Linked DNA regions of Notamacropus eugenii. The protein of the gene in region 1 purifies or fractionates together with the protein of each later gene. This does not show direct contact. Links are inferred from orthologs where the notes say so. Each region holds a gene or a part of one and is shown in the gene's direction. Other genes may lie near its edges. The genes, in order: ZRANB1, STRN3, MAP4K4 and STRN4.

Region 1 (6,896 bases):
TCTTTACTATAGCTCTCAATGTTGTTCATATATTAAAAACCTGAAAAAGACCAGGTGTGGTTGCTCACATTAAATGGCCTTCGGGTGCTGCTGGGAGTGGAGTATAGGAAGGTGGACCCAAAGGCTCACTGGCCTCCAGAATATTTTTTATGGGCATCAAGAAGCTTCAGGGACAGATAAGTGTGTCCTGGCCTGGGTCACCATTTTGATGCCTCAAAGATGCTGGGAGAGTTCTGTGGCCTCCATTTGGAGTTTCCTCTAGTAATGCCAGACCTACTCATTCTTCTCCACCCATCCTGGGCTACTCTTGTCCATGGCATTCCTCCCATATTTTTGCCACAGGAGGTCCACTCAGCATGCTAGGAGCCTTTTCCTGGATCCCTTGACATGATACACCAATGGTGCTTGAAGGCTGTCCAGTGGTTACTTCTCACTTTTGCTATGGGGTTGACCAATCCATCTTTTTTCCAACAGGGCAGATGTTTCTCTGTTGACATATTTTATGCTCATTTTCCCACATAATTCCTCTTTTGCTCTGTGCTGCAGCCTGCTCATACAACCTTGAACAGATTCTTTATGAACTTCTGGGTGAACCTCAACTTCAGTGCTTCAGAAATGGGGGTTTTAGGCCTCACAGCCATAAGCAACACTGGAAAGATATAGATGTGGGTTTCTGTCAGGGAGCAGCTTGAAGTCATCCAAAGCACTGCAATTTTCTGAAGACAATCCAGCCTTCTCTCCTGCTGTTCAATTCTAGGTCCCTTGTTATCTATCTGCAAGGTCTTTAATCCCTATCCCTTTTCCTCTTCTCATCCTTATTCCTCTCCTTGTTTACCTCCTATTCTTGTCTAGCTATGTACCTATGTATCTATCTACCCCCTCTGTGTGGTCCAGCCAACTGAACAACAGGCATTCTTCATCCATTGGCTTTTCTTATGGTTAGGCCAAAGTGGTCATCCACTCCCAGCTACCACTGACCCCATTTCTGTGCCTTCTTCTCTTGACTCTACCTTATCACATTTGTACTGTCATTGAAACAGAAATAGAAGCCACTAAAACATTGTGGGTCACACATTGACTTAAGATAACCATATATTAATATTACATCTTATTGTATCTTTGTTTTGTTAACTATTTCCCAATTAGATTTTAATGCTGTACTCTGGCATGTTGTGGGCCACACCACATTTTTTTCTACCTTACTGACTCCCCTAACACAACCCTAGCTGGAAGCACTAAAATGTTAAGAAATATCTTATTGGGGTTTTGGATGGAAATCTAGACAAATGGCTAGCCAATTACCCCCTGCCCCTGACTTGGATGAGAAGAGCTTCATCCCTCCATTTTCCATCTCAGTCAAGCTTAAGTTGGATCCTTTTTTTGCCCAATCACTGATTGAGGTAAATTCATATAAAAACAATGGAAACACCTACCATTTGCAAAGCATAGTATTAGGGGATGGAGACAGGAAAATGAACTATGACCCAGTTCCGGCCTTCAAGCATCTTATGGTCCAGCAGGGGAGAGAAGACAGGCAGTCATACAGACTGTGATTCGAGGCAGAAGCAAGGGGCAAAGTGCTATGAAAAAATGCAGGCTGGAGAAAACACTTTCAGCTTGGGGGAGGGGCTTCATTAAATAAGCCGTTGCAAAGTGCCCACTATGTGCCAGATGCTAGAGATTCAAAAGGAAAGCCTCTTGGGATCAGGAGAGCCCACTGGAGGCTGGGGTGCCTGGGCCTTTGCAGAGGGGAGGGATGATGGGGAGAGAGGATGGGGTCCTGGTCTGTGGAAGTGGGGAGTTGTCCTCTTGGGAAGAGTAGAGCAGGGAAAGGGAGAAGGGTGAAAGAAGGAGAACTGGAGCCAGGTGGTGAACCACCATGGGAAGCAGATTCTTGCTTATTAGTCATGGGAAGCCAGAGCAGAGTTTGCAGGGGACCCTTTACCTGGGATACACTATCTTGCTACTCTTTTTTTCCACCAAGACTGATGGTATTGATTTGAAAAGTACATCGAAATGTACCTGAAAATATCACTAAAGTAACTGTGAGAATTGGTGGTGGGAATGGAGGTGGCCCTATGATTTCCTAAGAGTAGGAAATCCTCAGTGTGGGAATTTCATCCACTGATGGAGATCAGCGACTCAACTGTATAACTTAAAGAGTTTTAGAGAATTGCCTGGGGTTCAAAGCAGTTAAATGACTTGCCCAGAGTCACACAGCTAAGTGGGCATCAGAAGCAGGATTTGAACCCATCTTCCTTAGGCCAAGGCCAGCCTTCTACCTTCTAGGACATATTGCTGCCTTTCTGTCATCTGGGCTAAATGGGAATACGTCACGATGCATCCATACCTTGCTCCTTTTTAAAAGGCTGGTCAGCCCCTAGGAATGGCTTTAGTGGGGGGAGGGGGGAGGTGTTAGCTTTTGTTCATCAGTATATACAGTGCTACAGGAGTAGTATGTCTTGGGATCAAGCTTTTAGAGGTAGAAAGTACCTTCCATTCAATGTCATTCAACCTGCTTACTTCATAGACAAGAAACCTGAGGCCCAGAGGTGTTAAATCACTTGTCCAGAGACAGACCCAGGGAAAGGAACTTAGTGTGTTTGTGTGATTATGATTCCAGCATTCTTCTCCACTGTAGTGCATGAGAATAATCCAAGAACCAAGTACAGCCTTGGGTCCTATCTATCCTCTTTTGGAGCCAGCAGGCTGCCTCGGCTCTCAACAGGCCTTTCTCCTCCTCCTCCTCCTCCTCCTCATCTTCTCACTTTTTTTGGGACTCCTCCATGACTGGAAATTTATGAGCTAAGAACTTCTTTAACCCATCCTTGCTGTTGTTGTGTTTGTCCTTTGTTCTCGAAGAGAACCATGACATCTAGATGATGACATGACTTGCAGTTGACTTTGATTTGAGTGAGGGAGGGCTGTGCAAAGTCACCAGCCTCCTTTCTCCTCCGGAGCCATCTGGGTCCAGTGGCCTAATATTCATCAGGACAGCTGGAGATGACTCAGGATGCAATGGGAGATGCTGGCCCTTTCAGGCTAAGGTCTTATAGCAATCTCACTTAGAATGAGATATATCCATTCAATGAACAGGCTTCTTTAAGTAGTTGCTCAAGGGATGACTCCATCCTGCTGACCAGCCCTGCTGACCAATCCCCAGTGGTATCCTGCCTGTGACATCAGAGGTAAGTCAATAAGCTGCACCCAAGGGAGAACCCCCTTCCCTCTTTATAGATCTGTGTGGCCCTCAACTATGTCAAGTTGTCCCAATGTATGGGCTGTCCTAGTGTGGAGGTGGTGATGACAAGCTAGGTGCCCCACCCATCAACTGGGGAGAGCTAGATATCACCTGGGGGAGGCAATTTCAGGCAGGACCATTGTTGATGCCTGCTATGACTGCAAGACCCCACCCATTCCCTCCATCAGGTTCCAGGGACCTCTAGGGTTGGGTCCTTGCCCCTCCCCCCACCCTGGGTATCCCATGTTAGGCCTTATGCCTTCCTTTGTGTGAGTTACAACCCGCCTAATAAAGGCCTCCTGCTTTCAACATCACCGACTGGTCTGACTCTTAGGTGAAAATCTCTGTAGGTCTCCAAATAACTGGAATTGACAAGGAAGGAAGGTTACCAGTGCTGAGTTCATATACTTAAGCAGAGAGTAAAATATGGAAAGTATGAGAAACTTAGGAGTTGCGTCCCCTTGAATGACATTTAGAAGAATTAGGTTGTTCCTATTTCTCAAATATTAGCATTGTTGTTCATGTTTCAGTATAAAGTCAGAAAGTGAAATGGCTTAATTCAAAGACAAACTCAGTTCTAGGGCTGGTGGTGGTATTCTGTCTCCACTGTCATCAAATTCTGTCATTGGAAAGACTTCCGGATCAGACTCTCTGATTAAGGTAGGAATCATGAGAATCAAACAGACTGGGACTCAGTTCCCTCATGTGAGGGAACTTATCAGTTTTGCTCCAGTCTGAATGCTTCTTAATCTCCTAGGTCAATGTCCCTCACCTTGTTAAAAAAAACTTAGGAGCCTTTTCTAAAGCTTGTAAGTCTCTTAACGTGTATTGATGACAGAAGCCCTTCCAGTTTTGAGTGTCTCTCTCATGGTGCCAGCATCATAGGTCTGTGTATATTGATAGCTGGGGACGCCAGAGGAGGGTACCCAAGGTGGAGAAGATCCTTGAAACCCTGCAATATGAGGGTTGGCTGAAGGAGCTGGGGGTGTCTAGTTTGGAAAACAGGAGCTCTGGGAAGGGGACAAGTATTTGAAAGGTTGTCAAGTGGGGCAGGGACCAAAGGATGAACTTTGTTCTGATGGGCCCAGAGGGGAAGCTGAAGGATGGTGGATGGGAGTTGTAAGGAGGCAATCTGAGGCTTGAGATCTGAATGAGCTTCCTAACTGATTGAATTATAATCACTCAATCAACAACCTTCATTAAGTGTTTACTCCAGGAGGTCTCAGCAGGAGGAGGGAAGCGCTTCTGGCCGAAGTGAGGGGGCTTCTAACTATGTTATAAGTGCTGGGAAAGGAGCGGGGGGGGGGGGGGGGGGGGGGGGGGGGGGGGGGAGCGGTCGTGCATAGTGTGGGCTCTCAACTTGTGTGCTTCACAGTTTCCCTTTAGTTCACTTTATTTAATGACCTTTAATTTTATTAAATGAACTTTATTTTAAGTTTTCAAGTTAAAATACAAACAAAAATTTATAGGTGAACACCAACTGAAGACGCCTCAAGTGATTTCTCGTAGGATCACATTGACTGAGAAATGGCAGATTCTTCACTCCATCATTATACTGATTAGGGGGATATGGAGACTTATTTTGGTTAGACTTAAGAGTGAATATGTGGTTTTACTTGTCAGGATAATCCTGTATTTTGGCTTCTTGAGGCTCCCCACCTGCAAACTTCCCTGCTTATGTTTAGGGTACCACCCCCCTTGTTGAAGCCTGGACTATTGCAATAGCCCTCTAATTGGCCTTATTGCTATCTAGTCTATCCTTTCTCCCAACTACTTTCCATGTAGCTACCAAAATTATTATCCTAACGCATGGGTCCTACTGCGTCACTCCCCAGCTTTAGAGTCCCTTAGTGGTTTTCCATTGCTTTCTGATCAATCTCAAGTTCCTTAGCTTGATAGTGAAAACCTATTGCCCTCTGGACCCCATTTTCACTCCAGTTTTATTTCATATCACTCCACCTCATGTGTCTTTGAGTTTGCACCCTAGGGTTTTTTTCCCTGAAGGTGAGCTGTGGATTCTTTGAATTGCCACTGTTTTCTATGTTCAGAAATTCTGACATATGTTCTTGCGGAAGATCTTTCATCCTTAAGTTATCTCTATATTCAGTCTGAGATAATGTGTTTTGCTTGAATGGAGATCATGTTTTCTTTGAATGTTAACTGCTTTTTGCTTCTCTTCTAGATTTCCCTTTACTTCTATTCTTTAAGTACCTGATCTATTAGTCTCTCTTGCATTTGTTCTATGAGGTTTGCCATTGTGGATTCAAGCTTTTCTGTTCCATTATTTCTGCTGTGCAAGTCATAAGTTTTGCTTTCTCTCTTGAACCACTTAGGAACATACTGTTGTGCTACCATGCTGTCTTGGGAATTCAAGAGGTTCCTCTCCTTAATCAGGTACTGATTAACTTTTCTTTGTCTTACAATATTTATTCAGAGGTGTTTGGACTCATCTAGATAATCTGGAGGTCATGTTACATTATTAATGTCTTCCCTATTGGCTTGTATTAAACATCTTTAATGGAATTTTTATCTTCCTTAGATCTTTTGTAATTTCAACCTTTTCCCCTTATATTCTTGTATTATTCACTTTCTGACTCCTTTCCTTTTGATGGCTCTTTCCTTTTGATGGCTCTTTCCTTAGGGACCAGGCCTCAAAGTTATCTCAACCTCTTCCTACGCTTGGGAATTCACTTTTCATCAGCCTCAGTTCCTACCCTATGTGATGGGTCTAAACTAGCTACAACTGGATCCCAGTCCCCTTTCCTTAAGATCTGGTAAAGTTCCCCATATAACCTGGACCCAGTTTCCTTTATTATTCAATTCTCAAGCTGAACGTTGTTCTAGCACAGGGCATTCTTACACTGCCATACCAGGCAAAACAAATTTCCCATTTTCCTGTACCTCTAACTCCATGGCATAGGTTGGAGGAGTTGTTCTGTTGCAAGCCTTTGGGTTGGGTTTATACTACCATACCAGGGTATGGTAGCTGATAGAAGGGGGACTGAGAAACCATTTGGGTATTAGAAATTAACCTTTTTTTTTGTTAGTTCATTGGGCTGTTACCTCATTAAGGTTCTTGGTGTCTTAGAACATGGAGGTAGCTGAATTTACTTTACTTTTTATACATAATTCCTGTTTGGGAGGGATTGAGTTGTGAGGAATGGAGAAAATGTTTAGTTTTCCATCTTGATGATTATGGGACCTGGAACTCCTGCGTTTTGGTTCAATAATTCTAGGATGTCTTCTTGTAGGATTTCTTCAAATATAGCAACCAGATTGATTGGATTCATATGGTTTTCTGGAAGTCCAATGATTCCTGAACTATTTCTTCTCATTCTGTTTTCTAGGTCTGTTGTTTGTGACAGTAGCCATATCATCTATTTTTTTAGTCTAAGCCCTTTTCCTACTTCCTACCTCATCTTTCCCAGTCTTTGGATTTATTTCTGTTTGCATTCTTTTTATTCCATTCTAATTTCAGGGTGTTCAGTGCTTGGGTTAGGTTGTCTTCCTTCTGGTCTAAGCTATTTGACTTCCAAGTGCTCTCATTTTGTTCTTTAGCTTTGGTTTCAACTCTTCCTTCATTTTTTCCATTAACTATGAGAGTTTTTATCTGGTGTTCTATTAATAATTATTGTGAAATTATTTTCTTTTGGGA
Region 2 (7,640 bases), on another chromosome or scaffold:
CCACATAAACAAGCTCTAGTCTCCTCACTTAAAAAAAGCAAACACCTTTCTTTAAACCTGCTACTCCCTCAAATTATTCTGTCTTTCTCTCCTTCCTTTTACTGCTAAACAACTAGTAAACGTAATGAACGCTGGCTGCCTCCTCTTACTACTTGTTCTCCAAAGTAGCCAATGATCTGGTGGCTAGACTTGATGGGTCATTTCTAAATTAACTCCCTCCTTGATCTTTTTGCAGTTTCTAACAATGTTGACCATTCCCTTCAGGAAAGTGTCTTTTCTCTTGGCTTCTGAAACACTGCTCTTTTCTGGTTCTTTTTCTACTAATCTGACCTTTGCTAGTTAAACTTCTTCTATGCCCTAAGCATCTCCTCCAATGCTTTGTCCTAGGCCCTCTTTATTTTATCTTTAAACTTTTCCCCTTTGTGATCTCACTGGCTCCCATAAGTTTAATTATTACTCTACACTGATGACTCTGACATCTCTATATCCAGACCTGTTTTCTCTACAGAACTCCAGGTCTACATCTCCACTTTCTTATGCATAAATCTGAACAAGCAACTCCCCTGGTGAACAAGACACTGCATCTCTCAGTCCTGGGTATTATCTCTGACTGTCCCCCCATGCTTTAAATGTTCTCCCTCCTCTGCTCTGCTCACCTCCCTTGCCTTCTTTAAGTCCTAACTAAAATCCTACCTTTTATAGGAACCCTTCCCTACTCTCTCTTAATTCCCGTGTCTTCCCTCTCTTTATTATTTCCTGTTTATTCTATACACAAATCGCTTTGCATATATTTGTTTGCTTGTTGTCTCCCCCATTAAATTGCAAGCCCTTTATGGATAAGGACTGTCTTTTGCCCTTTTTTCTATCTCCAGCTCTTAGCACAGTGCCTGGCATATAATAGGTGCTTAAAATATGTTTAATGATTTATTGGTTCCTTGTTTCCTCTAGAATAAAATACAAACTCCTTAGGTTGGCATTTAATAACCTAGTAAGTCACAGCTACAATCTTACTTTCTACAGGAAGCCTTTCCTAATCTCTCTTAAGATAAGTGTTTTCTATTGATTATTTCCAATTTATCCCGCATGTAGCTTGTCTGTTTGCATCCTGGGCCATCTCCAGTTGTCCTGATAAATATCAGGCCACTGTAACCAGATGGCTCAGGAGAAGAAAGAGAGGTTGTTGATTTTGCACAGCCCTCCCTCATTCAAATCAAAGTCAACTGCAAGTCATGTCATCATCTTAATATCATGGTCCTCTTCGAGAAGGAAGACAAACACAACCTGTGAATAACAGCTCCTCTCCTTTCCTCTCCTCTGGTGTTCTACCTAGGGGAAGGTACACTCCATGGCCAAAAGTTGCTTTTTTTTCTTTTGGTTTATGGCTACATTTCTTGCTTAAAGATCAAGCCTTAAATTCAATTCACTCTGGAGCTCGTAGACTAGACAAGTCTCTACCCACCTAGTATAAAGCGAATGTAATAACTAAATAGTAATTGTTTCTCTTTTACCTAGGAACCCGGAGGGTCTTCCCCTCCCAGCTTGATTTTTTTTTTAAAAATTAAATCAGTCATCCCTTGAGTAACATAAAGAAGCCTATTCATTGAACAGGTGAATCTCACTCAAAGTGAGAATGTGATAAGACCTAAGCCTGAAAGGGCCAGGGTCTCACATTGCATCCTGGGTCATCTCCAGTTGGCTCAGAAGAAAGTGAGTTTGGTGACCTTGTGTAACCCTTCCTCACTCAAATCAAAGTCAGCTGCAAGTCATGTCATCATCTTGATGTCATGGTCCTCTTTGAGAACGAAGGACAAACACAACAACCTCCCTCACTGGATTGCGAGCTCCTCAAGAGCAGAGAATGTCTTTTACCTGTCTTTCTATTCCCAGTGTTTACTCACTGACTGTATTCTATGCACCAATCAAACTGGGCTCCTAACTATTCCCCAGATGATATGCCATCTTCGGCCTTTATGATTTTGCATAAATTATCCTCCTGGGAAGGCATTCCCCCTTCAGCTGTCCCTCTCAAGATCCCAGTCTTGGTTCAAGACTCATTTTAGGTGTCACCCTCTCCTTCCATGAATTACACTCCCAACAACCTCAAGCTAAAAATGCTCCATCTCTTCTCAGTTATTCCTAGAGCACTTTTTTTGAGATCTCTCCTTTACCCCCAAAACTAATGTTGTATTTATAGATGTATATGACTTATTCCACCCACCCCAGGAAAGGAGAATTTTGTTTCTGTCTTTGTATCCTTAGATATGCACCTAACACTGTGTTTTATGCCTCTTCCTCTCTCTCATGTTTCTTTTCATCTTCCAGACTAAACACCCTTCATTCTTTAATCCATTCTTTTTTGGAAGGCACTTAAACTCAAAGGAGAAGTACTCTAATTCTCACAAAAAGATTATTTACTCTAGATTTGTGGACACTTCTAAAAATAATGGTTATCTGGTTTCCCAGCCCGTAACAGATTGAAAGCAGCAAAGGGAAAGCAGGGTCAGAGAACATTCTGGAGAAGGGAAGACTTTCGTTGATGACTTGTTTTTCATTGAGGTTGGACTCTCTGTGATCCCATTTGATGTTTTCCTGGCAAAGGCACTGGCGTGGTTTGCCATTTCCTTCTCCACCTCGTTTTATAGATGAATAAACTGAGGCAAACAAGGTTAAGTGACTTGCTCAGGAACACCCAGCTAGTAAGTGTCTGAGCCCAGATCTGAACTCAGGAAGATGAGTCTTCCTTATTCCAAGGCCCTGGGCTCTATTCACTGTGACACATAGCTGCTCTTAAGACCTTTATCCACTCGATCATTTTTTCTTTACCTGATATGGTGTGCTGCCCTGTACCATTTTGTTTATCCCCCTTTGAACAAGAAAAAATGTGGTCAAGGTCCATTTGATGATGTAGCCATAAAACTAAATGCAGTACTCCAAGCAAAACAAGCATATCAGAGATTCTGTTCTAGTCTTCAAATTCACGTTAACAAATTACTTGTCTCCACGCTGCAGAAAATTGGCAAAGCACTTAAATATAAGCAAATTTCAAGGATACGGGGCAAAGTACATTTAATTTCCCAGAGAACAGTTGGGAGGGGAAATTTAAAAAGGTTACACAATCTGAGATCATACAAGCCTTGAAAAGTACCTGAAATTCTTACTTTTAGAAATTCATTCCCAAAATTTACAGATTTCTTTACACAAGCAAATTATCCTTCAGGGGCTAACACAGTAAAGAAGTCATTGCAATATCAAACATTTACTTTAATAAATTTATCAGAGATAGTAAGCCAGTTACTTGGGGAGACCCATAAAATAGATTTTGGCTAGGGTGTGGCTGGAGAAGAAAGGAAGGGACACAAAAATGAGGAACAGGAAGCCTGAGGAAGTTGGAAAGAAGCACTGGATTCAGAGCAAGCCAACTTGGGATTAAGCCCAAACGGACCTTCGCTATTTACTATGCGTAACTATGGACAAGTCAGGCCTTGTGGGCCTCAGTTTGTACATCTGTAAAACGGAAGCTTTGGGACTGCGTGACCTGAGGTCTCTTCCAGTCTGAAATCCTATTTTAAAATGGGGACTGATAAACCTTATGCCAGGTGATGGGGATACAAAAGAGGCAAAGAGACTCTAGGGAGGTGGTTGGAAGGGAACTCTCCCATGGAAGCTACAACCCCAGGAACAACCTTATCCGCCGTATTTAACGGAACAGGTCTTCGCAGCCCGGGGGAGAAGCGCGGCCCCCTCCCCGCCCCGACGTCCGCAGCCCAGTCTGGGAAGCAGTGCCAGCGAGGGCAGGGGGCAGCGCTGAGGGCACGTCCGACGCCGTCCTGGGCACCCCAGGCGAAGAGGGAAGGAGAAAGGGAAACTTCCCCCCTCCCACGGGCCGCACACGGGCCGGTCACCCTCAGCACGCTCTTCCAGACCAGACCGCAGCAAAGTGTGGCCCTCCCCCACAGAGCCGGAGCCGCGGTCCGGCCGAAGTCCAGCGTGGGAAGAACCAAAGCGGGCTCCGGGTCAGCCGCGGAGCCTGAGTTACTACCAGAACGGAGAAGAGGCCGGCACGGGCCAAGAACCGAGGAAGAGGGAGTGACAGACAGACAGACGCGGAGGGGCGGCGGGAACCACGCAAGGAATGCCAAAGAAATGCGAGGAATGCGGCGCCGGAACAGCAGAACCGGCTCCAATCCGGCCCTGGCGGCGGCCTCCCCGCTCGTCCCGCGGCGCTGGGTGCGGGGATACAGCCGGGCGGGACGAGCTTACTCGGGAAGGTAGCAAAGAGGAAAGTCCTGCGGTCCAGATTAAGTCAGAAGAGGAGCCACCGAGTCCAGCCCGGGCAGCCCAGCCAGCCCAGCCCGGGCAGCCCAGCCCGGGAGCCGAGCTGCTGTGGGCGGGGGAGGGGGACGCCCCCACGGCTCCTCCCACCTCGCGTCTTGGCCCCTCCCTTCCTCAGTGCGCTTGCGCAACGGTGGAGCCCGACTCTATTTGGCTATAAGATTTGCGGCAGCGGCACCAGCGTCGCTTACCCAGCATGCCGCGCGGGGGCGACGGCTGTACGACTACCCCTTTCCCTCCCCCGTCCCCCCACGTTACCCTCCTTTCCCCCTCCCCTCCGCCCCCCCTCCCTCCAGTGAGTGAGTGAGACGGGCAGATGGAGGAGGGACTGTAATGGCGGCGGCCGGCAGCTCCCTGCTCTGACCCGCGGCAGACACTTAGCAACGACCCCCTCCCCGCCCCTCTCCCCGCGGGCCGCCGCCCAGCCGCCCGCGCGGGGCCACCTTCCTCCTCCTTCCCCCCCGCCCCCGGCCGTCCGCGTTTCCCCCCGCGCCCCGGCCGGGGCCCCTCACACAATGGATGAGCTCCCGGGAGGCGGCGGCGGCGGCGGCGGCCCGGGGATGGCAGCCCCTCGGCAGCAGCAGCAGGGGCCGGGGGTCAACATGAACCTGCAGCCGGGAGTCGGCGGCGGCGCGGCTCAGCCGGCGGCGGCGGAGGGCGCGGGCCCCTCGGCGGGCCCGGAGCTGTCCCGGCCGCAGCAGTACACGATCCCGGGCATCCTGCACTACATCCAGCACGAGTGGGCGCGCTTCGAGATGGAGCGGGCGCACTGGGAAGTGGAGCGGGCCGAACTGCAGGTAGCCGGTCGCGGGACCCCGGGGTGGGGAGGACGGCGGGACCTCGACGGGAGGGTGGAGGGGGTGGGGCCCGCGCGGGGATCCCGGGCCCGAGGGCACCGGCTGGGCGAGACGTACCTTGGGGGCCCGGGCCGAGGAGGAGCGGCGGCGGCGGCGGCGGCGGCAGGTCCCGGCAGGGGTCCCCTCCCCCTCCTCCCTCCCGCGGCGGGAAGCCTTCTCGGCGGCCCTCACTGGCTGCGCGATGCGGGCTTCCTCGGGGCAGCCATTTTGGTTTCTAGTATGGCGTCCGCCGGGGCTTCTCCGGCGGCTGCGGCGGCGCCGGCCCGACCTGGGGAGCCGTGGCCCCGGGACGATCCCTCCGCCGAACCCCCGGGGGTGGGGGGAGGGAGGCTGGCGGCGGGACGCGCGCGCGACGGCTGCCCTCAGCCCTTCCCCCCCTCGGGTCAGACACCCCGGCCCGGATCGTGCCGGACTCTTCCTCCTCCCCTTTTCTCCTCCTCCCAGCAGGTCCTCCCCCCGCCCCCCACCTGCCCTTTGACAGCTGCCCTCCCCGGAGCATCCCCGCTCCCTCCGAAAAGGATCTGAAGTTTGCTCTGCGCGCGGCCGAACTTGGCTTGGGGGGCCCGGTCACCTAGGTGGTGTCCCCTCCCCCCTCTCCCTTTGGGTCCCTAACGTGCCCCAACTTCGGGCCAACTCTTGAACTCTCGGATGATGAATAATTCTTAAGTTTGCTTCACTTATCCCTGAGTCCCAAGCAGTCACTTCCTTCTGTCTGCTGCTTGGTGTTAGGAAACAGAGGAAAGGGCAGATTGGACTTAAATCGGGCTGGAATAAAGAACAGTTATTTGCATATTTCAAACTCCCTTTTGGGGGAGGAAATGGAAAATGAAGTATGCCTCACCCTGAAAAATGGGAAGAACACGAGTGTATAGGCTTTTGCAGCAGAATAGGAGCTTGGATTTAAGAACCTATTGTTGGTGTATCTGTTGGGAAAGAATGTTTTAGTGGACAGTACCAACGTGTTTATTTTTAATCCCTTTCCAAGGCAAATTTAGGACTGGGAGGTGGGGTTGGACAGCGTCTCTGCTACAAAGTATTGCACCTGTTTTGTTTTTTTGATACAATGTTGCGTGCAATATTGTAGTTCGGTGTACGTGTGCACGCTAAGTAGTTACGGAAAGATAATATGGAGGGGAAACTACCTATTTAAAAAGATTTCATCTCACATGTCTTAATCAGGCCAGTAACGTTTTGGAGTCAATAGGGTTTTTTTTTCCTTTGGTCTTATAAATAGTGAAGTCACAAAATGAGGTTAATGATTTTTTTTTAAAGTGAAAATTATAATTTTGCTTTGGAAATTGTCTTTATCAAGCCTTAGAAAATAAGATTATGAGATTAATTCGATTCCTGTCAGCTTTTTTTTTTTTAAACATTTGTGGATTTTATCTCTTATTTTATAGTATTGGACTTTAAAAACATGAAATTTTTAAAAAGTGTTTTTATGTAAACAGTGCTTTCTGCCTTTTATACTTTGGGGTATAATGATACATGGTATATTGTGCATTTTAAATGACTTGCTGAAAGTTTGTAGTGGCCTGCAGATAGTGTTATATACTGTCTACTACACAGTTACCCATGTAAGTGGACTAATCATTTAGAAAAGGGTTTTTAAAAAGCATCTGTGTTGGAAATTGAATTTATTTCATTATACGAGTGTTGTCCATAATAATGTTGTCCATAAGTACGTAATAAAAATTTGTGCAGTGTGGTTGATCGGTTTGAAACGGCATTAGGAAGAATTATTAGGTATGATCATTTGTCCTATTTTTTTGTTGGTGGTTTTGAAATGCAGTAATGCAGTCTAAATGTTGATGACTGGTGTATTTTATATGGAATCAAGCCTGGGATTTGTATTTTAGGACTTTTCTAAATAAGAATTTCATCAGTCACTCTTAAACTGTAGTGTAACACAAGCAAAAGAGATGTTACTGGTTTACTAGTGGAGTTGTTAGTGATGTTAATCCTATGATATCTATTTTGACCTTGCCTTTTCTATCCTTTCTCCTTCTGAAACTCCTTTTCCCCTGCAGCAACCTATCTATGCTTGCCTGTTCTGGGAAAGTCTTGTCCATGTTCTCTTGAAAATCTTCCACAAAAGATGGTTCTAATCTATTTATCTTGGGGACGATCCTCTAGAATTCTTCACATTACTAAGTCACTGGGATCCTGGGTGCTCATTATTAGTTATCCATACTCTTGCTAGTGACAATCCTTTTTTTTTTTCTCTAAAGTCTGATAAACTGTTTCTCTTGTGTAGCTCACACCCACTGTGTGCCTCTATTTGCCTCTAACACTTCAGAAATCCTAGTACAATGCAAAGAGCAGAGGATTTGTAGTCAGACAAGCTGAGTTCGAATTCTAGTTCACAGTTAATGTGAACCCACCCAAGTCACAGAACCTCTCTGAGACTTAGTTTCTTTCCACTTCTATAAAAATATAAGGGGTTTGAAC
Region 3 (7,095 bases), on another chromosome or scaffold:
CTAATCCACTCCAATGCAAGAAAAATTTATTAAATTTATTATTTATTATTATTTATTAAACACCCCACTATAAGCAAAATATTGGAGGTAAAAAGACAAAACAAAAAAGCAATCTTTGCTTTTAAGAAACTTATTTGCTTATACAACATGAAAACAATTGACTATTTCACCTCTCATTCCAATTAATTCCCAAATCTTCTACCTTTCCACACCCTTTCAAACTAGCGCAAATCTCCAAAAGACCCTAACCTCAGATAGTCTCTCTCTTATCTCCACAGATCTACTTCCCTCCACCCTACCCTTGCTTAATCCCTTCATAGATTGAAAATATATTTTGACTATGGAACTCCTACCATTTCTGCAATAAAGGAAAAATTAGGAAAAAAGTCAAGTAACATGTGTAGATGTAGACTGCTGGCCTAATTGGATACTATTGTGTTATTGACAGTGCATTGTTCTGAATGGGTGAAAATTTATTGCCTGTCTGTCCTTCTGCAAGTTGTGAGGAGGTACATTTACATTTGACTGCTGGCTAAACTCATTGGGGCCATCTCCTAGACCATCAAACTTCTGACTATTACACCTAGGATATTTATTTTCCCTTAAACTTTACTAATTCTCAGAATTTCTGGGTTTTTTTCCCCAGTCCTGTATGAGCCTGAGTAGGTCACTCAATGTGTCATTTTCACATCTCATTTTCTTCATCTGGTCCTATAAGGGCATCTAACCTTATCTCCAACAATAAGCCTTCATCTCTAGGGAAAAAAAAAGCTAGTCTCCCTATCAAAGTCCTCAGCCTAGTTTTCATTTATACTATTTCCCTTGCATAAGATAACCATCTGGCACTTAATTATTTTAGTGCCTTGCATTGTTAGTTATATTTTTATGTATTCTATATTTTACGTCTTTCACAGTGAAAAGAGTATGAAAATAAGAAGATCTGGGTTTTCATTCCAATCTGTCACTTATTACCTAGGTCAGTATGTGACCATAGGCAATTGGTTTAACCTGTCCTATCTTTATCTCTAAAATGGGGATAAATACACTCTTATCAACTCCCTCCCTAAATTCTGATAAGGAAAGAACTTTTTAAATTATTAGGAGTTATAGAAATGCGAGTTATTCCTTTCTTCCCAGCTGTATTATAAACTCCAGGAAAAGGACCCTGACTTATTACACACCCACAGGGCCTAGCACAATGCACTTCACTCTGTGGTTTTTTTGGTAACTGTTTTACTATTTCAGGAAACGTCGGGCATGCTTTATCTCATTTCCTCCTCTGTAGCCTTGTCCTTCACTACTGCCACACTGCTGCCAAACACAGGGTACATTTTCCTTTCCTTTTCCAGTTCTGTAACCTTTAACTATGAGCAAATTAAATTCTGCCGCTCTCCCAGAATGGGATACACCCATTTATTTCTCTATGATTCTACTTATTATCCCTGCCAACCAAAATAGTCCTCCTGTATTGTCTGCCTTTGTTGTTGTTCAGTTGTGACCCCATTTAGGGTTTTCTCAGCAAAGATGATAGTGTGGTTTGCCATTTCCTTCTCTAGCTTGTTTTACGGATGAGAAAACTGAGGCAAACTTGCCCTGGGTCACACAGCTAGTCTAAGAGCAGATTTGAACTCAGGAAGAGATGTCTTCCGGACTCCAGGACCAGAAAGCATTTACAGCCATTGTGCCACTTAGTCTCCCTCTATTAGCATGTAAACTCTTGGAGGACAGGGGCTAGTCTTTGATTTTTTCCTTTCTATCCACAGCAATGAGTACAATACTTGGCACATATTAAGTACTTAATTAATTCATTTTTCATTCATTCATAAATACTTGTCGGTTAATTCCTACACACAAGGAGTTTACAATTAAAATCAAACTGACAGACAAAGCATGTACATGCCAGTTAGTTGTAAAAAGGCAAAAAAGTGGTAAATGACAAGTCCAGTTCTATGAGACTTTGGAAGGGGCCATTCTAGTCCACAGTGGTCAAAAAAGACTTCTAGGAGATAGGATTTGAGCTAAGCCTTGACAGAGTCCAGACAGAGGAGTAAAGAGGTCTGTTATCGGAAGTAAGGGAGGAGAGCGTGGCCTAGAGATGAAGAAATTTGAAATTATGGTCAAAGGAAGGTGACAGATCTGTTGGCCATATGGAGTATTCTTGGTGGCAGGCAGTGGGAGATCAAGTTGAACAAGTCGGTTAGAGGACCAGATTATAGATGGTTTGGGATGACAAGCTAAGGAGTTTATCCTGTACCCTGTGGGCTACTCAATGTTTTTGAGCAAAGGAATATTACAAGGAAAAACTGCCTAGGAGAGTACAAGCATATGGCAGACACTCAATAAATTCTTGTTTAATTGGACTGAATTGCCTAACTTCCAAGTGTACTGGTAAGGTTACCTTCAGAGCCAGTTAAAAGACTTTCTGAGAAGTTCCGACTCCCTACTCTGGCCACAAAAATATTAAGGTTCACACTAATAAGGCATCACAAAGAAAAGTTAGAATAAATACATCGCGGGTCTATTTTGATCGTTGCTACTTTACTAGAAAATCCTGTGATGAAATAAACTTAAGGAAAACAATTGAGATAGAACAATATTTAGGAACCATGAGCGGAGGTCTGAGAAGAAATAAGCTCATTTCTCCAGAAGGGGAAAGTGGGAAAAAGAGAGGGTGGATTTTGCTCTCAGAAGATTCTCCAATCCTTATAGAGAACACCAGCAGGCCCAGCCAGCCTCAGTGGGACACACCCACCGCCCGAGGTGTTGGAGGGGGAAGGAAGGGGTTAATCCCGTTCTTGTTCTTTCCTGGGGAGCCCAAGTGTTTTCTTTACCGTTAGGGATTTCTTGTTTGTTGCGTTTCTTTGGGGGTGCTGCTGCTCATTTCCAGTGTTCAAAGCCTTAAGCTCGGTGCCCCGGAGCACATGGTCCGGACCATGTCAATTTCCTTTCTCTGACAATTACAGAGCTCTCCTGATTTTCACACTGGTTTTCTCTGGGATCTTCCCGTCTGGGAACACAACGCACACAGACCCTCTGCCTTCGTTATTATTTCTGTAGTCGGCCTTTAAACCCCCCACCGCAGCCTAGCATTCTTCTCCAGGTCCGGCCAGGCTGGAGAGAGGCCGGGCACGCCTCGGCGGCCCGGGACTCACTTCTCTATTGTTCCCCGCCACACCCCTGCTGAATATGGATACATCCGAGCAAGTAGCGACTCCCAGACCGACCCGGAGAAAGGAACTGCTCAGGATTTTTCCTTCTAGTTTACCCAGAAGTGCTTTGGGGCGTGTGAGTGTGTGTGTGTGTGTTTCCGCTGGCTTTTCCTGTTGGAGAAGGAAAGGGGGAGCTGTTTTCTCTCTCTTCTCATAATCTAGTTTTTTGTATCCTTTCTCTCCTCCTCTTTCTCCTCCTCCTTTTTCTCCTCCTCCTCCTGGGTTATCTTTGTCTGGCTCCCTTGGTCCCTGAACTCTCCCCAGCGCCGCAGCTCCGAGTCCTTGGCCGCTGTGGATGTGGGTGCCGTGCCCTCCGCTGCACCGGCGGCACCGGGAGCAGCAGCGGCGGGGGGGCTAGCGCCGACAGGCAGCCATCGGCGCTGCCGGGAGCCGAGGCTCGCCCAGGCCGGAGGGGAGCCGCCGTCCGAGGCCCTCCACCTTCCTCGCCCGTTTGTCTGGGAGGAGGAGGGGGGTGCAGATGCGAGCGCGGCCGCTGGGCGTGGAGGAGGCTGAGGCTTAAGCCGGGAGTGGGGGCAGAGCCTGGGGGCCGTTGCTGCCACCTCAACATGGTGTAAACCCGCCTCCGACGCCCCACGCTCCCAGTTTCCTCTCTCTTCCTACACACACACACACACACACACACACACACACACGCACACTGATAGACAGACGGACAACTCAGATCGGGGGAAATAAAGGCTCATCCCCGGGCAGCGAGCTATCCGGCGGCGGCAGCAGCGGCGACCGGACCGGAGCAGCAGCAGCAGCGGCGGCCGGACCGAGCAGCCGGAGGAAGATCCGAGCAGCAGCAGCGGCAGTCGCCTCAGCGCCGCCTCCCAATGAGGAGCAGCCTTGGGCTGGCGGGGCTCGTCTCAGTGTGAGGAGCTGCTGCCATCGACCATTAGCCCTTTATAGAAACAATTCCAATTGAATTTCAAAAGCATATATCTATTTTTTGCAAAAAGAGAAGATGGCGAACGACTCGCCTGCAAAAAGTCTGGTGGACATAGACCTCTCCTCGTTGCGGGTGAGTGCCAGCGACAATGAAGCCGCCCCCCCCCCCCCTAATCCTCCCGTCTCCAGCAGGGTCCCCCCTCGCCTGTGCTCTCTGCACCCTCACTCCTTTCACACACACCCCCCCCCCCCCCGCGCGCCCCGTGCCCAGCCCTCGCGGGTCCAGCCGTGTGCGTGTGCTTGGGGCTGGGGTGGGGGTGCCGCCTCTGCCGGCCTCCCCTTCCTGCCCCGCTCTGGGTGGTGCTGCCGGGGCGGGGGTGGGGGGGGGGAGAGTTGGAGGCTGCTGGGTTGATGCTTTTCCTTTGTTTGCATGTATTGGCATGTGCGTGGAAAAATTAGGGCGCAACAGCTGCACCCAACATCCTCCCGGCTCTAGGCACCGTTGTGGGTTTTTTTGCAAGAGCCCCCCCCCCTTCCCCTCCATCCACCCTCTACGTACACTTGGACATAAAGCAAGTTCTTTATTCCTTTGCTTTAAAGGCCAAACTAACTTCTTTTGTATGCCTCTCATCTTTCAACTCCCCTCCTAAAAAAATAAAAACCAAACCCTCCCTTCTTTCCTCTCCAGGATCCTGCTGGGATTTTTGAGCTGGTGGAAGTAGTTGGCAATGGCACTTATGGACAAGTCTATAAGGTTGGTGTCTGAGCCCTCTTTGTTTCCCGTGACATTTTGGGGGAGGGCAGGAGGCGACTTGGCTGCACCAATTGGTCAAGTAAAGTTTGGTGGGTTTCTGTATTAGTGCTTTATTTTCAGCCCCCTCCCCCCAAATATCAGGTTTACTGTCTCACTGGCCTTAAAGGACCTCATTTTCTGACTTTCAGATAGGGAAAGAAACTATTCTCTCAGGCATGTACTTTACTTGAATAAGAACGGGGGTGGGGGGGGGTGGAAGAACGGAGGGAAATGTTTTCATAAGGCAATTTCATTTTTTTTTTTTTAAGACTACCCAGTTGAGTTTGTGTAGCTTAATTAAAATTCAGGAATGTTGTAATAGGCAGGCATTGCTTACATTCATTTTAAAGCACTGCCTTGGCCTTCCTGAAATTGTCATCTTGTCTCCATGTTTGAACCTCTTCCAAGTGCTCAAGGTGCAGTTTGGTATTAACTGATGCTACTTTCTAGTTTAGCTTGGTGTACATCATGCAGTGTACTGACTGAAGGCTACCTTGATTGGAAGTGGCCTGGGGTGGGGCTGAATGGGGACAGGGACCACTGTCCAGATTTAGGCAACAAAAGCAGGAAGGATTATAGTGTGAACATTATAAAATCTGAATTCCAGGAAGAACCTGTTTGACAAGTGCATAATTAAAGCAGAAATCGGGGAGAGTGAGAAGTGTTTCACACTCATCCCAAGTCTTATTTTGTTTTTTTTTTTTAAATGAACAGTGAATGCGACAGACAGGTCTTGAGACTGCATGACTGTGCAATGAGTAGCAGCTACCTGGTGTGACTAACAGTTATCGTATATTTTAACTAATACGTGGTCTTAAAGAATAAGCTGTAGCAAATAGTAGTAGCTTGTTTTATATAGCACTATAAGGATTTGCTAAGCACTTTCCACAAAACTCTGTTAGGTAGGTAATGCATTTATTGGTATAGGATCATAGAACCTGAGCCAGATCCAGTCCAACCCCCCTCATTTTAAAATGAGCAAAGAAACTCACAGATATTAAGGGGCTTGTCCAAACCTCACATGTAAGTCTTAGAACAGGGATTGATACCTAGGTCTTCTGACTCTGGGACCAGTGCTCTACTAAACTATACTACTTGAGAAATAGGAACAAAGCCTTGAAAACTGAAAACAAAAGGTTACATTCTCCTTTCCAGTAGTTTTTTTAATCACTTATATGACAATCCATTCTTGTAAAAAAAAAAGTTGTATGGCTATTTTCTTCTAGTGAACAAATGTATTTGAACAGGAACATTTTTCGTTATATAAATATTGAAACTTGAGTTTTTGTACTTAAGGTTAGAATCACCACCATGTGCATTACTTTGTCTTATTTTAAAGATAGTTTGGACATTTAGAATCTTAAAAGCTTAGAGTATTAGAGGTGGGATTCTTCAGGTCAACCCCCTCATTTCCAAGTGACTAATCATTTTTTCTTCTTTACATATGTTTCTATCACCTGAGTTCTCTTCAGCCATGTCCAGTACTGTGATTGTGAGCCCTCTGCAGTTAACACATTAATGGATATTTGTGAATGGTCTCCATTCGTTGTGTTCACTCATCTAGGCCTTGGTAGGGCAATAGGAGGACTGTTGACTACTGTAATCTGCTTTCCATCTAGAAACAAATTTGCCTAATTCAGTTTAGAAGTTTTGGGAAAGTGTATTTTTCCTAGTGTGTTGTAACTTCCGAAGGCCCAGATGACTGGCTTAAATGGACTTAACGACATACAGAGTGAACACTCTTTTCAGGTCAAATCTAAGTTGTGAATGGACACTTCTAGATGATTTTGCAAAAGCATGTTGTTTATCTGTTTATCCAGTTCAGTTTTGTTTTTTAGAGAGTGGGGTTAGGGAGTAGGGGACCTTATGGGAGCTTATTTCTGTTAAAGAAAGCAGACATCAGCCTGGTTTTAAAATAGAACTCAATGAAAGAGAGTAGATTAACATGAACTACAGGTAGGTCATGTGGGTCTGCAGAAGCAAGGTACTTGTTAAAATCATCTGATGCTGGGTGAGGCCTTTTATTTCAACCGTTAGAAATAAGGTTTAGACATTTATTGTTACTAAAACTCTTTAGGTTGCAAGTAATTTGAATTTTTTGCCCTCCAGATTCCTTACTTGTCTCTGTCTCCCTCTCTTTTCTCCTAGCTCCCTTTGGATTTTGAAACAAATTGGTTGAATATTACATTTGGGCTGTAT
Region 4 (7,763 bases), on another chromosome or scaffold:
GTCATGATGCCATTCCGGGGGTAGAAGGGCCACAGGTCCACATGGAGGTGGTTGGTCTCACTGTACTGGACCCGGAAGAAGTCTCCCTCCACGGCCTTTTCCCACACGAAACCTCGCTCGTCCACCACTGAGCCAACCTCAGCCCCACGCAGCTGTTCACAGTTGGCCACGTCCTCGAGGTAGATGCCAAGGTCGACATCATAGTCCCATGGGATGATGTCGCCGTGCCGCACTGCTCCCAGCAGGCTCCCCCCTTCCAGCCAGTAGCGGACCCGGGCAGCCTCGAGGACGCCGATGACGTGCCGTGCAGTCTCGCGAAGGGCCTGCAGGCAGCAGGGGGGCGTCCAGCGGCCCTCATAGAGGTAGGAAGGGGTGTCGCCCACCACGGTGTCAAAGCACCTGGCTGTCTCCTTGCCACAGCCAAACCACTCCTGCCTCCCGCCCTCCCAGCTGACCAGTCGCATGCCCAGAGCCCGCAGGAGTGCATCACGCCGGGCACGGCCTTCCTTCTCGGCCTTCCAGCGGGCATGGGCTGTAGCCAAGGGAGGCTGCCGGGCAGGGGCAAAGGGCAGGTCTAGGAGGCGAACAGACCAGCCTCGGACAGACGTCTGAAGGAAGAGGCTGGTGCTCATGGGCCGGGCGAGGGGCAGGGAGAGGTTGAAGAGATCTCGCGTCCTGACCACCACCACAACCTCTCCATCCAGGGCATCACAGAAGGGGGGGTCTGGGGCTGGGCCGTAACTGGCTGTCCATTCGCGCAGATTCACTTCCAGTGCCAGGCAGTGCGGGGGATTTGCTGTTGCCACAGGTGCAGCCACCAGTCGGGCATGGGTGTTTTTCAGCTCATCTGCCATGCGCTGGAGCTGCCCGGGGGACTCTGCCCTCGTCCCATCAGGCACTAGGGCCACAAACTCCGTGTCCACATAAGTCTCAGGCTGGGAAGCAGCAGCTGGCCGATCGAGGGAAGGCTGAAGCAGGGCCAGCCGGACATTGGGAATGGCAGGCAGGGCTAGGGGCGGGTAGGGGAGAGTATCAGCTGCCACTACGATAGGTTGGGTGGGGTCGTGGTGCAGGAAGGAGGCCACCACCTCGGGCACAGCATTGTCAAAGGCTTCAAATTCCCGGATGAGCACAGTGACCCGAGGGTCTGGGGAAGAGTGGGGGAGTCGGGGGGGCCTGGCTGCCCGGCTCCCCCGCCGGCGCTGCTGCTGCAGCCGCGACACATAGAAGAAGACAAGGAGGTTGAGGGTAATTGCGGCCGCCAGCGCGACCTGGCATCGTGTAAGACGCATCTGGCTTTTGGAAGTGGGGCTAGCCCCAGGATCCTGGCAGCCTGTGTGGGTTTGAGAGGTGGAGGCAAGGCAGGGAAGCACTGAGGTTTACATTCCCAAACATCCCCTCCTCCTCCTCTCCCTCCCTCCCTTCTCCACAATGTACAGCCCCCCTCAACAGACTTCCACCCTCCCACTTCCTAAGACTGAGAGCTGGCAAGACCTTGGAGCTCACTTAGCCCAAACCCCTCAATTCACAGAGGAGGAAACTGAGGCTTGAGAGGGTGATTATGAGTAGCTCCTGGCTCTACAGGCAACAAAACCACATGATCTGCCTTCAAATTCAGCACTGCTATACCTGCTCCCTGTTCTACCTGACACTTCCTTCTGTCCCTAGTGGTAAACAGCTTGGGCATTTTCTGCTTAACCAATCCCAAGCCTTGTGCCTTGGTGAGGGTGATCCCTCTCTAGGCCCTCTCCTGTCCCCCGGGCTCAGCCTGGACCCTCAGAGGGCAGAGGGCCCGGGACCTATGTCATTGCTGTGGGTGGGAGACACACACACACACATGCTAGGACTTCAGTCTGCCTATCTGTGGGGTAGGGTGGCAACCCTGAGCCTCCACCCACACTGACTGCTTCTCCCTTTCTCTGTCCCTGTTCTGGGAGAGCCTCAGGCTCCCCTCAAGGAAGCCATGGGGCCTCCCTGGTCTGAGGCTCTGGGGCTGAGGTTCCTGGGGTCAGTGCCCACCCCTAAGCCTCAGGGGCAGGGACCAGTCCAAGGTCTGGACTCTGTTTCCACCTAGGACTACTGAAAGGAAATGGCTTAGCTCAGAAGTGCTCAGAAGTTTAAGTAACCCTTAAAACATCATGGAAGCTTGAGCTGCTGTTCCATCCGACTTTTGTCTGCACTGGATCTGATTCAATGGGCAGAAAGTACTCCATAAATACCTGAACCTAGAGGAGGGTCTGGACTATTGTTGGCACCTGGGCTCTGTTCTCAGAGCCCCATCTCCTCTCCAACAGAGCCCAGACTAGTCCTAGCAGGCTAAGCAAGCTCAAGGAAGCTTTCCACTTCTGCCTTTCTTCTAACCCCCCCCCCAAAGAAAACCCTAACCAAAACAAACAACCTCCTTTCCAGAATTCCAGAATCTATCAATCCTTGCTAGTTATGGGACATTGGTGTTAAGAGGCCTTCTAAAAGGATGCAGCACAGTATGGTGGCAAGCTCACTGACTACATGGTCTGAGTTCAAATCTCACTGCTAACCCGTAGTACTCCTCTGGCCTCCCAGGAGGGATGCTGGGTTTGGAGGTCTCCTCTGGCCCTAATGATAGCATCCTATGATCAATGAATCCAACCCTATCATTTTCTTGATGAGACTGAGGCATAGGAAGGGAAGGATTCTGGGCAAAGGTGCAAGGGCAGTGGGAAGCAGCCTCCCTTCTGTGAACAGATTGGAAAGGTTTGCCCCAATTAGGACCCAGGCCCTGGACTGGGTGCAGGGGCGTGAGGTGGGGTGGCAGGAAGAACCTCAAGAGGGGTGAGGCATAGTCCCAATCCTCTCTGGAAGTTCAGTCTAGGAGGGGAGACAAGACAGACACAGATAACTACTGTACCAGTATACTGCTGGATTGAGAAGGGATATTAGACGTCATCTCCAAGGCCCTGGTTGCAATCCTAGCTCTGACCCTGACTTCCTTCGTGCCCTTATGAAAAGTCCCTTTCTCTGGGCCTCAGTTTCCCCATCTGCAAAAGGGATATTCTGGTTCTCTGATGGTCTAGGATTCTGAGAAAATGAGCGTGGGCATCTGGGTGGAAGGGAAGTAATCCACTCCAGGTCCCCATCCATGCCAGTTTCTAGTCTAGCCCAGCAGGCAGTCTCAAAGCCCCCCAGGTAGGGGGCCCTAGAGCTTACCTTTTTAGGAGAGTGGTGTATAGAAATCCCCAAGGCTGATTGCTTTTCCTGCTGAGGGTTTAGGGAGGGGAAAAAGGCTGAATTAGATGTGGCTTTGGGACCCCTTTCAGGAAATGGGCATCTCACCCAATAGCATGGCTGCCCAGCATCGACATCTCCCCCTCCTCAGGTTTACATGGTATACCCCAGTGCAAGGCAGAGCTGTCCCCTCCAAAGAGGCAGGGCTGGTCGTCTGCCTTTTTCAAGGAGGGACAGTGAAGGGGGAAGGGAATGACTTGGCCTCTCCTTAAAAGGGGTGGAGTAACCTTTGGTAACTTGGAACTCCTTCCCTGTCTGCATCCGTCTGGATTTAGGAAAGGGGTGAATGAAAAGGAGGCAGCCTGATGTCCAGTAACCGCAGCAACCTGCCTCCCTGCTCCCCGCTGCAAAGCTCGCAGCTCTCCCCAAGCGCAGCATCCCATCCCGGGACGGGTCTGGACGCCCTGAACAGACTGAGAAGGACGGCCCACAGCAACCACGATTCCTCCTTAGGACCCCCCTCCTACTCTCCTCCCCGCCTGGGGAGGGGGGAGGGATCACGGCCATCACCCTCTCTTTCCCTGGGCATTCGCACACCGGGGTCTAGGTGTGGTACTAGGCCCGGATGCCATAGCAACCCACACAGCCCGGGGTGGACTAAGCAGATGCTGGGAAGGGACAGATTAGGGTGACTATAGCAACAGCTCTATGGTAGCTGCCATGGCAACTGGCCTATGGGAATTGGGGGGAGGGACAAGGGTTACTGCCGCCACCGATCCTGGCCCGGGGGAAGCAGGTAAGTGTTGCCATGGCGACCAGCCGGCGGGGGAGGGGCCGGGATCGGCTGGGGGTTGCTGGGGAGGGTCGCCTAGACCGGCAGGATTGCTATGGTAACCCACGGGGGGAAAGAGATCCGGGATTGGCGGCTTGGAGTCTCCGGGACAGCGGGGGTGCAGGGGCGGTGCTCCCATAGCAACCAGTGGGGCTGGGGGGGCGGGAGACAGGGTGCAGACTGGTGCCCGTTGCTTGGCAACCCCGTAGGGATGGGGAGGAAGGGGCCTAAGGAGGGGCTGGATGGGAGGGGGGCGTGGAGAGCTGGGCCAGTTGCCGTGGTAACCGGCGGGCCAGGAGGCGTCTCGGATTGGAGGCTGGGAGGGGAAGGATGCGGCCAGGCCGGTCGGTTGCTACAGTAACTGGAGCGAGGGGCGGAGCCAGGAGCCCGAGTCTGGTTGGGGCGCTCCGCAGGGCGGAGAGGGGAGGGGTGTCAAAGGGCTAGGACCAAGGGCAGCCTTCCCGGCGCGCGGCCGCCGCCCCCCCCCCCCCGGCGCGCGGCCGCCGCCCCGCGCGCCTCCCTCGGGGAGGTGACAGCGCGCGTGCGCGTGCGGGCGCGCGGCGACAGCTGCGCGAGGCTCCTCCTCCCCTCCCCCCCCGCCCCTCCCCTCGGGCTCGAGCGCGCGTGCGCGCGGACAACCGCCGTCCGCGAGGGAGGCGCGCGGGGCAGGCGGCGGCCCGCGAGGGCGCGCGCGCGCTCCAGCCGCCGGCCTCCATGATGGAGGAGCGAGCGGCCCCCGCCGCCGCCGCCGCCGCCGCCGCCGCCGCCGCCGCAGCCGCCGCCGCCGCCGCCGCGACCGCCCCCGCCTGCCGCCCGCCGGCCCCCGGCCCCGCCAAGGGCGGCGGCGGCGGCGGGGGCGGGGCCGGCGGGGGCAGCCCCGGGGCGGGCCCCGAGCCGCTGAGCCTGCCCGGCATCCTGCACTTCATCCAGCACGAGTGGGCGCGCTTCGAGGCGGAGAAGGCGCGCTGGGAGGCCGAGCGGGCCGAGCTGCAGGTGAGCCGCCGCCGCCCCCCGCCCCCCGCCGCGCCAGGACCCGCCCCCGGCCCGGCCCGGCCCGCCCCCCGCCGCTGCCCCGGCCCGCGGGCCCCTCACCCGCCGCCGCCGCCGCCGCCATCTTGGAGAGCAATGGCCGCCGCCCCCCCCCGCGGGAGGGAGCGGGGAGCAGGGAGGGGAGGGGGAGCGGGGAGCGACCCCCCCGCCCGGGCTCGGGCTCCTGCCGAGGAGGGCACGGCACGGGAGGGGAGGGGGACAGAGAACCCCCATGGGCGACCTCGGCTCCTGCTCCCGCCGGGGAGAGAAGGGGGACAAAGAAGACCCCCGCCCCCCGCCGCGGGAGGGGCGGAGTGACCCCCTTGCCCGGAGGAGGCGCTTGGGGGGCGGCCCCGGGCGGAGGAGGGTAAGAGACCCCGGCCCTGAGACGGCTTCCACTCACCCCACCCCGTACGGGTTAGGGGAGATCCCGGGGAGGGCTGTGGAAGGGGAGCCCTCGCTCGGCCTCTCGGCAGCTGCGCCCCCTCTAGTTGTTTCTGACTCTTGGGGGTCGAGGGAACATTCTCAGAAGATCCCAGCCGTGACCCTTCTTCCTCCAGCAGCCCCCCTGGTGCCCTGAATTTTCAGTGGGGGTCCTGATTTCCCACACCCGCTGCGCCCCCCGCAACATAGGTGGGAGGTATTGGTTGATGTAGGACCCCTGGCATAGGGGAAGAGGTGGCCTGGGAATGAGGGGCGTTGTGGTCACCGCCCCAGAACGAAAATCAGAGGGTTAAATGTGGGGAAGGGCGACTTGGGCAGTGGCTGCAGGGAGGAGGGCAGGACCCCAGGACTAGCAGTATTTGTAAAGCAGTCTGTTGTGGGCTCATTGGCCCCCTGGTGTGGGAGAAGAGTGTTAGATCTGGGATCAAGTTGGGGCTCGTTTTTGTGACCCTGGACAAATCATTTCACCCTCCTGGGCCTCAGTTTCCTTATCTTTAAGTGGAGGGGTTGAACTCGACAGTCTGAAGTCCCAGCAATACAGCTATGAGCTTATGTGTCTGGTGGGAATTTGAGAATGAGAGACTTAGTGGAGCCTCAGGATATGGGGCCCCCAGAGGCAAAGACTGAGGCCATTGGAAGCGAGGCGAGTGGGGGCCCCAGCATGCAGAAGGGATGTGCTTGTCCAGGCAGCGCTTGGGTGCCTGCTTCCTGCAGCCTCCGGGCTTGGCTGAGAGGGAAGGGAAGACAGGTGAAGCAGCCCCTGCCTTTGATGAGCAGGAGGCAGAGTGGGCACAAGAAACCCCAAAGAATTGGGGAGCAGGGCAAAGACTGGGGGTGGCATAGCAGAATACATATCAGGCCTCTGACACTCACTGGCTGTTCGACCCTGGACAAGACTGCTCTCTGCCTCAGTGTCCTCATCTGTAAAATTGGAATAAGAGCCCCTGCCTCCCTCCCCCGAATCGCTGGAATCATATATGTGAAGTGCTTTGTCAGCCAGAAAGAGCCATAGAAATGCTGCTGCTTTTTATTTAAGCCCCAACAGTTGTGTAGACGGTTTAACCATTTTAGGTGACTTTTTTTCCCCAGAGAAAAATGTTCTATCTCCATTATGTACAGGCTCCTGAACAGATTTCACCTTCTTGTGCCCATTCAAGATGATTGTCATGCACTTTTATTCATGTCATACAGTTGGAGCACATGGGGCCATTCCCCCATGCCCTGGGTCTACTGTTCATGGGCTTCATTGGGTCTTTGCTGTTGCTTCCTGCTGTTTGCAGGGTGCCTGCCTGGAGCAGCTTCTCCTGACTCCTTTTCATCTGCACTTGGTGGGGAAGCCAGCTACCCCCTGGTTCTGCTAGAGGGCCCTGTTAGGGGCTGCTGGGTGGTCTGGTCACAGAGGACTCTGGACTCCCCTGGAAAGGCCAGGGCAGAGCTGGGGCTGGAGCCTGTTCCTCTTTGTTCTTCACCAAGGGGTGTCCAAGGGAAGTTGAGGAGGAAGGAATGGGGCAGAGCAAAAGGTGCTGGCGGTCTCATTCACTGACAGGGCCAGGGAATGGACCTGGGATTTCACTGGGACAGGGAGCTCCCAGAGGAGAAAACTGCCAGTGCCACCATCTCCTCTGCAATTTATAATTTGAGAGGGCTGATGGAGAGTGGGAGGGGGCATGACTTGCCCACATGGTCCTAGATGGTCTGACATATCAGAGGCAGAATTTGAACCCAAGGCTTCCTCTGGCTGAGGCCATTCTGCCTGTCACCTGGGTTCTTCTAGTTCTCAGAGGCATCCCATGACAGTTGGGCTGAGGGCCAGTCTTAAGGGTGTGTGGGTTGGGGGTGGGCATAGCATCTGTCACATGAGTAAAGGTGGAGGCATGGGAATGATGTGCCCCTTCTAGGTGTTTCCTGGGCCTCAGGGACCTCAGACCAAATGGATGGGAAATGTACTGCTGGCTAGAACAGCTGGGATCTCCAAGGAGGGAGAATGTGTTGGCATTCAAAAGACAAAGTGATGGGGCAAGAGCCCTGGACTAGGGAGTCCAGGGACCTGTGTTCAGTATTCAAATCCCCAATCTAGCACTCACTAGCTTTGTGACTAGGAACATCCAGTTGATCTCTGAATGTATTTCTCCTTTCTACTAAATGTGGATCAATAAATAAACAAATATTAAGAACCTTCTATGCGCCAGGCACTAAGAATCCAAAGGGGGAAAAATGAAAGTCCTGTCCTAAAGGAGATACACATATGTAAGTG

What was found.
Region 2: the proteins of ZRANB1 (region 1) and STRN3 purify together in Homo sapiens (affinity purification with mass spectrometry; 4 studies listed by BioGRID and IntAct, with this or other methods). This does not show direct contact. The link is inferred for Notamacropus eugenii from reciprocal best matches to the Homo sapiens genes ZRANB1 and STRN3.
Region 3: the proteins of ZRANB1 (region 1) and MAP4K4 purify together in Homo sapiens (affinity purification with mass spectrometry; 3 studies listed by BioGRID and IntAct, with this or other methods). This does not show direct contact. The link is inferred for Notamacropus eugenii from reciprocal best matches to the Homo sapiens genes ZRANB1 and MAP4K4.
Region 4: the proteins of ZRANB1 (region 1) and STRN4 purify together in Homo sapiens (affinity purification with mass spectrometry; 4 studies listed by BioGRID and IntAct, with this or other methods). This does not show direct contact. The link is inferred for Notamacropus eugenii from reciprocal best matches to the Homo sapiens genes ZRANB1 and STRN4.

Annotation. Positions count from the first base shown.
Region 1 is NC_092872.1:281,369,334-281,376,229, forward strand, and holds the start of ZRANB1 (ubiquitin thioesterase ZRANB1), read left to right. Parts: upstream 1-3,877; 5' UTR 3,878-3,901; intron 3,902-6,896. UniProt on the Homo sapiens protein: Ubiquitin thioesterase, which specifically hydrolyzes 'Lys-29'-linked and 'Lys-33'-linked diubiquitin. Also cleaves 'Lys-63'-linked chains, but with 40-fold less efficiency compared to 'Lys-29'-linked ones.
Region 2 is NC_092878.1:47,716,146-47,723,785, reverse strand, and holds the start of STRN3 (striatin-3), read left to right. Parts: upstream 1-4,638; 5' UTR 4,639-4,847; coding exon 4,848-5,129; intron 5,130-5,246; exon of another isoform or gene 5,247-5,370; intron 5,371-7,640. UniProt on the Homo sapiens protein: Calmodulin-binding scaffolding protein which is the center of the striatin-interacting phosphatase and kinase (STRIPAK) complexes.
Region 3 is NC_092877.1:173,756,281-173,763,375, reverse strand, and holds the start of MAP4K4 (mitogen-activated protein kinase kinase kinase kinase 4), read left to right. Parts: upstream 1-4,091; 5' UTR 4,092-4,179; coding exon 4,180-4,236; intron 4,237-4,791; coding exon 4,792-4,857; intron 4,858-7,095.
Region 4 is NC_092876.1:28,840,156-28,847,918, reverse strand, and holds the start of STRN4 (striatin-4), read left to right. Parts: upstream 1-4,750; coding exon 4,751-5,029; intron 5,030-5,128; exon of another isoform or gene 5,129-5,158; intron 5,159-5,282; exon of another isoform or gene 5,283-5,297; coding exon of another isoform or gene 5,298-5,432; intron 5,433-7,763. Other genes in the region: ribitol 5-phosphate transferase FKRP, read right to left, coding at 1-1,292. UniProt on the Homo sapiens protein: Calmodulin-binding scaffolding protein which is the center of the striatin-interacting phosphatase and kinase (STRIPAK) complexes.